2 linked regions of the Oryzias latipes genome follow. The protein of the gene in region 2 interacts with the protein of the main gene of each other region in a biochemical or structural test. Links are inferred from orthologs where the notes say so. Each region holds a gene or a part of one and is shown on either strand. Other genes may lie near its edges.

What was found.
Region 1: of the proteins of sik2 (region 2) and CREB-regulated transcription coactivator 2, one has a biochemical effect on the other in vitro, tested with the Homo sapiens proteins (2 studies listed by BioGRID). The link is inferred for Oryzias latipes from reciprocal best matches to the Homo sapiens genes SIK2 and CRTC2.

The regions. Positions count from the first base shown.
Region 1 is NC_019874.2:32,400,952-32,405,439, reverse strand, and holds the start of CREB-regulated transcription coactivator 2, read right to left. Parts: upstream 3,080-4,488; 5' UTR 2,173-3,079; coding exon 1,999-2,172; intron 1-1,998. Other genes in the region: olgc2 (membrane guanylyl cyclase), read right to left, coding at 4,110-4,255, 4,461-4,488. UniProt on the Homo sapiens protein: Transcriptional coactivator for CREB1 which activates transcription through both consensus and variant cAMP response element (CRE) sites.
Region 2 is NC_019871.2:15,495,217-15,499,027, forward strand, and holds part of sik2 (serine/threonine-protein kinase SIK2), read right to left. Parts: intron 3,480-3,811; coding exon 3,355-3,479; intron 2,860-3,354; coding exon 2,736-2,859; intron 1-2,735. UniProt on the Homo sapiens protein: Serine/threonine-protein kinase that plays a role in many biological processes such as fatty acid oxidation, autophagy, immune response or glucose metabolism.

The sequences.
Region 1 (4,488 bases), on a different chromosome or scaffold from region 2:
TTAGTGACCCACATTGAGACGGATCGTCTACATCATCTGTTTGAAGAAGGATGTCAACATAGAGGTCAGGGTTCACCTGACAGGGGAGGGGTCAGTCACATGACAACCACACCTCCAAAAACCTTCCGGGTGGGGTCACAGAGGAGAGTTTATATAGATGGATCGATCGGCTCGACCTTTAAACCTGATCAAATCCATCAGTTTGAAACAGGAAGTAAACAATCAGAAACGTTTAGGGATAAGCTGCAGATCATGAATCTGGATTGAACAGATCCAGAACCCGACCCGCAGTTCTTGTAAATTCAGACTGATCGTCATGACAACAGCAGGCCTCACTTCAGTGATGTCATTTCCTGCCAGGAGGCCAACGACCACATCGCTGACAACACACCATCAAAGTGAGAAAAACGTCTTTCCTGCTTGAAGCTGGTAGGAAACCAAACTGGAGCCAGTTCATCGAGTAGCCACTAGGGGGCTTGTTAGGCAGTGCAGTCCGACACTAGCATGTCAGTAGATTATTACGCTTTAGTCACTGAAGCCTTTTCCTTCTATTGGAGAGGACCAGTACTGACACCCAACCCTGGGATTTGAACCCACATCGAGCAAATGACAAGAGCTGGAGCTCCGGCTTCACTGGGCCCCTCCAGCATCAGATGCCTGACTCCCCGCTTTAGGCTCTTCCTCAACAAACAGATGACCTCTGACCTTGGAGCAGCCATGGACCCTATCACAGTGGAATGAAGCCACGCCCCCTTCCTGATGGAGCTGGGCTCATTTGAACCTGGACTGTCTCAGGAGCGAGGCAGACGTGCGTTCGGTGAGCCCAAACACTCCAGGTGAGCCCGAACACTCCAGGTGAGCCCGAACACTCCAGGTGAGCCCGAACACTCCAGGTGAGCCCGAACACTCCAGGTGAGCCCGAACACTCCAGGTGAGCCCGAACACTCCAGGTGAGCCCGAACACTCCAGGTGAGCCCGAACACTCCAGGTGAGCCCGAACACTCCAGGTGAGCCCGAACACTCCAGGTGAGAGAGGAGGAGGAAGGCCGACTGGTCTTTAGCTCAGGAAAGAGCTAAACGCTGAGGGGCTGCGCCTAACGCTGACGCTGTAACAACCACATTTCCCAAGCTGGGATCAATAAAGGAACTTTATCTTATAAACTAAAGTAAACAGAACACATGGGTCGACCCGTGGTCCTGCTCAGACACAGCACCGCTGGGGCACCTCAGGTGATGCAGCAGCTTGACCTCTGTGGGGTTTGAGGCCTTCAGGTGAACGTCAACAACCGGCTCAGGACCACAGAGAGGATCCTCCTGATCTTGATGTCAGGAGACTCTGAAGCTGCAGAACCACGTCTGAGTCCAGACCTGGTGAACTCCTGCTGGAGGACCCCCACCTGGTTCAGTCTGCTCCCAGATCGGTTCTGCTGGATCCAGACGCTCTTCAGCCATCAGAATCATTTAGAGGAGCTGTGACTGTAGCTCAGCCTGAGCCGTCGGAGACGTCCAGCTTCCCACCGGCACCGACACCCGCCGTTCACACCGGCGGAGCTGTGAAAGCTGCCGCCTTCCTCGGCCCTGCAACGTCGGCCAACCGGTTCGGATCAGCCCGACCTCCGTCCGCGCTGAGCTTCGGAACCAGCCGGGACGGAGAGGGACTTGGCACCCACAGAGAGGCAGGGTGGTACCGGGGGTCCGGCGGCGCGTCCCCGGCTGACGGCGGCGTCACGTATCACAGTAAACAAGCCGAGCTAGCATAGCGGCTAACGCGGCTAGCGCTATCGGAAGCGACGAGTTGCGGCTCCGCGCGCTCCGCCGACGCTCCAACTGCGACACAGCGCTCGCGCTTCCCGCCGAGGACTTCAACTTGACAGGTTCCCAGACAGCGGGCACGGAGCCGCGCGCGGTCAAACGTAGCTGTGCGTGGGAGTCTGCGAGCCTCCGGGAGGCCTCTATTCCTCCGCGACTCTCCTCCTCCTGCCTCCGTCTCCGACTCACCCTGGTCGAAGTGATGTCCATCATGACCTCCTGGAAGGCGGCTGTTTCCTCCGCCTGCCGTTGGGTGTGAAGCGCTATCTTCTCGCTAAATTTTCGGGGGTTTGAGGCACCGGACCCAGTTCCCGAGGCGGGTCCGGGTCCCGGTCCACAGCCGCCTGTACCCGTCGCAGACATCTTCCCCGAGCGGACGGGACGACTTGACGTAGTGGAATGATTTTCACCAAAGAGGGGCTGCTAACGAAGAGGGCTCACTCCGTGGCCATTTTCAAAGAACTGACCGAGCGGACTCCCTCTCAACCTCAAAACCCAGAACCATGTCAGCATTTCCCGGGTTATCGATTAGATTTCCAGATTTACTTTTGACGGATTGACAAATCCAGTCTTCAAAAGGAAGCTGGCCTCTTATCACCAGGGACTGGAGAAATCCACAGAAATAATGCAGACTCAACGTATGTTTGGTTATACAGACTGCAAATAATGCCATCAAATGTTTGTTTCTATATTCCTATCAGACAAAAAGCAGTGAACTTTATCAAGGTAGGCACTTGTGCGCATGTGTGAGGAAGTCGAATCTAAATGAACTTTTCCCCCCGATGAACTGGATCAGGTGAGTCCGGTTTCTGACTAACGAAACACACCTGATCGAAATAAGAAACAGCAAGTAGGAGAAGGTTCCGTGAATAATGAGGACAGCAGCTTTCGATGAGCCTAGATGTCCAGCATATGAAACGTGAACACCCCGACTAATCCAGCGTAGTGAGTCATCATCCTACAGACGAGCTTTGTCCGATTGACACAGGCGAGGGAGCTCCCCCTGCTGGCGAGCGGCCGTCAGCGCAGCGGTGTCCTCCTTCCGGCAGTTCCGGGCCTCATTCATAAAAGTCTGTACGCACAGAAAGTCGCGTGGAAATGTGCGCTAAAGATGCGCTCTTTGGCCAACACTGGACTCGAACAACTGAAACCTGAATCTGGTTTTTGCTCCCAGTCTCCCTCTGAGATGAGGAGACGAGCATCAACATGTGACACGTTGCTCCACATAAGAGGCAGTTTCCATGGAGATGAACATGCAACATTTGAGCATCTTCTCCACTTTACTGGATTGGACAAAGATTTGAGTCTTTTTTATGAGATGGGGGGCGGAGTCTCAGGCCAGCAGAACTGTGATCTGAAATCATCCCTGCTGCTAAATGACAAAGGAACATTCACACGTCTTTATTTATTCACTCCTTCAGATTAAATGATCTGAGGATTGTTTCTGGGGGGCAGACATCTGTATTTATGTGATGGAAAACCTTTCGAATGTTATCAGAAGATAAGCTCATCTGTTCCCCCACAGATTTCACCTCTTTCCTGTGTGTTTGGAGCAGATGCTGGGTCTCTGAGGACTACCACAATAATACCACATTTCAGATGGTCTTTGAGCTTACTATGTTGCTTTTTTCAAACCATAGAAGTTTGGTTTGATCTTTAAATAATCTTCTTCTGCAGTTTACCAGCTAAAACATAGTTGACTTTACATTTTTCCATTTCACTCAGCATGTACGAAATATCTTCAAAGGAAAACCTGAGGTGTTTTCTTCAAGTTGGATCCTTTTGCTCTAAACTTTCTTGTTGAGGTTTTTTCTGACACAAATGACGGTGATGACATTTCATCCCAAATTCTAATTTAAAGACAGAGAAACATGAGTATTTACAGAGATGAGCTGCACAGCAGGATGAAGCCTGGAGCTCCTCTTACGACCCTCTGCTGCCCTCTGGTGGCGGATCAGGGACCTGCAGGACCACAGCGCCACAGGGAAAACAGCTTCTTCACCTGTGAGCTGAAGTTCTGCTGCTTTCCACCATGAAAGGACGGTGATCGTGGAAGCAGCAGATGCTGCATCACCTGACTCACTAGTCTTCAGGTAAGCAGAACCTCCCTCAGAGTCAGAACCCCCCAAGTGGATCAGAACTGCTGCAGAAGGAGAGTCAGTAACCTGCTGATCTTCTCCTGCACTCCTGACCTGCTTCTGTCCAGGAACACAATTCTGCAGAACTTTGGCCTGTTTGAGGAGGTCAGTCACTTTTCCTGCCTCCTCCTGGATCTCCTTCCATCTTCACCTCCTGTCATCTCATTGGCTGTCACTTTCTCCCAGCAGCCAATAGGTGGTCATCTTTCCTTTGCCCTTGATGTCGATGTCTCCTCTGAGTTCCAGCTGAAAGGAGTTGAACTCTATCAAGACGTCCCGGGTGGCAGCAGACACGTGGATCTTCAGTGCTGCACAAACACACACACGCACGGATTAACAGCAAGTCAGGGTTCCATGTTTTACATCAGCTGATTTCATGTTTTTTGTGTATCTGCTGAAGCTTCACTGAGCTTGGGTTCACCGGGTTCCCCCCGGGTTCCTCCCCGGTTCTAAGGGTTTCTCAGCTGTGTGAAGTGACGGCTCCTCAGGTGTGATCAGAGGTTCTGCACTCACCTTCTCCGCTGGACTCCATGCGGGAGGA
Region 2 (3,811 bases):
ATGCAAAAAACTGAAAAGGTCATTGATCAGTGCCTGACCACAGCATTCACTGGACTAAAATGTTCTAGTGAGAGTTTAGAGTGAGGTGCTAGTCTGTTCCCTGCACCACAGAGTTGACCAGAGAGAGCAATGGGAGGAAATGAGGTCTGTTTCTAGTAGAAGAAATGAGAACACTCTGTTCTTCACATTTGGGGGGGGGAACAGGGGCAGGAGTGAGGGTGGAAAGGCGGGTTGGATTGTCAGTCTAGGCCAAGAACTGACATTACACTCTCACATTCCCCGTCTCCTAATTGTTTCAAGGCTCGGAACAAAAGAAGAAGAAATGACATGAATTCCAGCACTCCCCCTTACGGAGACTTCGATCATGAGGAGCAAATAGACAAACAGGAAGACATTTCATAGACAGTGGGAGTCAACGAGACATACAGAGGGTCTCCTGGAAGAGCCTGCAGGAGGGCTTTGCTGCCTTGTCCCCCAGATTACATAAACAGCTCGTGCTCTGGATTTAATCTCCAGCCTGCAAGCTAGCACAATTGCTAACAGCGGGGCTGCTTTGAGACAGTCATATGACCTGACTCACTCCTGCATGTAACACATGACCCCTGCAAATGTTAGCAGTCAGTAGCCGCGGTTACATGTGCAAAATATCTTGATCGGATCAAAGATCGGATTATAATTCAACCGTGTAAATGGGCCCAGAAAAACTTTTTCCGATTAAAACAAAACGTCTACATGGGCCACACTTTCGTCTGGAATAAATAATTTGCACGTGCGCCGGAAGAGGAAATGAGTCTCGCTGTAAACAAGCTGAGCTGCCACAAACATAGATATCTGGCAGTTCAGTAATATACAAGATGATCTTCTAAACGTGCATTTATTATTGTTATAGTTATTATGAAGAGCATGTCCGCTCATCCTTTTATTTTGAATCGGTTTGGTCAGTGCTTTGTTTATTGTGGAACGGAGCTGGAAGAAGGGTTAAGAGAAAGCTAACACGCTAACAACATTAGCCTTCTTTGATGAACACAAAATCCATGCGGGAAATGCCACAATCTGCATCTAGGCTGCACGAAAATATGTGGGAATAACATCAGCCTTTATTTAGTCAGGACATGACTGGAAACACAAATCCACGTGATTGTTTGAACGGTTTCTAAGGACTGACCGACATTTCTGCTTTGAAAAGCTCACTGCCCCAAAGCCGCTGTGTGAGCTGGAAGTCCGAGCTCTGCTCAGAGACACATTTCTACCGGGAGACACTGTTCTCCTGAGTCCAGCAGCTCGTTCACCTAGAGCAGCGGGACGGATCGCAGCCCGAAGCCTCCCACACATAGCACAAACGTAACAAAGCATCCTCCCCTCCCCTCAAACACAAAGTTATAAGTCCGTCTGTTCTGTTCTGCAGAGACACGGTTCGCTCGGTCCACCGGCACCCGAGCCTGGACCGCGCAGGGTCCAGACGTCAGGGGGCACGAAGCGCTCCTCCCCGGCACCCCACTTCGTGAGGGGTGAAGAGTGCTTAACACAAGGCGTCTGCAGAGCAGCCGGTTGGTCCTGTTTGTGCTCCAAAGCCTTCTCTGGAGTGAAACTTCTTCAATGCGTGATGTTAAACCAGAGCAGTAGCGACGCACGATCAGAATGAACCGTTTACATGCAAAACGATCGGATCAACAATCAGCATAACCCACCTATCTCGATCGCAAAGAAATTTTGATCCGAATGAGTCAGATCGGGGCAGAGTATTCCGAGCGGCGTGTTTACATGACGAATTTTTGTTACGATCAGGCGTTTTTTCCTATTACTTTTGTCCATGTAAACGCAGCTATTTTGACAGAGTGCCCAATGCTGTACCATCCTAAAGCATACTGTTCTGTGTGATCAAACGACCTGCTCACTACTTTAGCCATGATAGACGGTGCCAGTAAACATTCAACAGTACAGTGACTCAAAGTCAAAAACATGTACGATGACTCATGCCCTTTTTTTTTTAAATAATTTAACATGAAAAAACTCAATGATTCACAAAAACTTTCAGTGTTTTTAGAAAAAAACTGACAGATGTGACTGTAAATCCAGGGTGCCATACTATAAAGATTGATACTTTTAGGGAAGTTTTACAAAATATTTGATATTGGACTTACCTGTACTAGTTAGTTAGAAAAGAGCTTAAGACGCCAGCAGGTAATTTGTATGAGTAATACAAAGGTCAGTTTTACCAATCTACAGTAAATCAAAATTGAAAGCTAAACTAGACATTTTAATGCATCAACATCAATCTATATTGAAAAGTAGAATTTAAGTAACACCCATTTTGTGAAATGACATTGCAACACAACCTCAGAGAAGGAAAAAAAATGTGATGTGTAAAAATGTGATGTGAAAGTCAGGTAGTTAAACTGAGAAGTTACATTTCAATTGGCAAAAACCTGCACTTCTGGCGATGCTTGCCATTTGATCAAAGACTGTTTTTCAAATGACATGGAACCTGACCTCTATCTTTCACCTCAAACCAACGATTACTGGACTTTTCCGCAATAACCCATTTCTTAGCATCATCCCTTCTGCAGGACTTTCCTCATAGTTCACCACAAATCCTCCCCTCAGATTAGCTACACTTTAAACAAAAGAAGGCAGAGGAGTATGGCTTCCAGGTAATACATGTGATGCCTAAACCCAGACAAACTTTGCCTTGATTGTAATAAAGTTCTGGACGAGTTAAACTTGTGTCCGCTCACCTTCAGTCATGAAGTATGGGATGCGGAACCTTCCTTCTAGGACTCTCTGTCGGAGGACAGGCAGACTGGGCCCGTCAAAGGGCAACGCCCCGCACACCAGCACATAAAGCACCACCCCCATACTCTGGAAACAGATGCATACAGGGAGCAGCAATCAATAGACCAATCAGAGATGACAATTATTTTTTCACACATCCACGCACACCCTTCTGAATGAAAGATTCACCGGTTGCTCTTAATTATATTAATGTTACTGAGCCTCTTCTAAAAAAGATTGAGATTTTTTTCCCATGATGCTTTTGTCTTTGGCCTTAACCTTTGTATCACGTGGTTGTTTAGCTCTTAATCATTATAACCCGGTAATCATTTTTTATTTTATTTTCAACATAAAACCTGTAAACCATCAAGGTTTTTATTTTCTTTCAGGATCACGTCAGTAAAGACACACATAAGACCGATGCTCCATCTTCATCTTGCCAATAAAATGTTAAATTACATTAATTGACTTCACATAGCTTTTTTAAATGGATCCAACAGTAGATCACTCCCATTAAAAGAAGGGAATTTAAGCACAAGAATGTGAAGGAGCTGTCGTTTTGGTTAAAAGAAATTCTCTTACCCAGATGTCCAGCTGTGGGCCCTCATACTGTTGTCCTTCAAAGACCTCTGGAGCAGCGTATGGCGGGCTGCCACACCATGTAGCCAAAGGCTCTCCTTGTTTAAAGAAGTTTCCAAATCCAAAATCTACAAGGGACGACGCACCAACAGTAAGCAGGCTGAAGACAGTTTTAGGTGTCACAAAACTCCCAGCAGACAATGTTTCTTTAAGTAATGCCTGCAAGGGAAGAACATTGGCCCTTTAATATGTTCTATAAAGACGTGTTACCCAATATGTTTAAGGGTTTGACTATACACATCCACAGAAACAAGAGTGGATTGAGACAGAGCATCTGCTGGCACCTTTTACATAATGCACTATGAGAGACACATTTTTGCACAGTGAGGAAATGGCCTCAGTATGAAGCAACTGCCCCTGATGACTGGTATGAGGTAATCTGTGCTGGACTGTGAAAGGC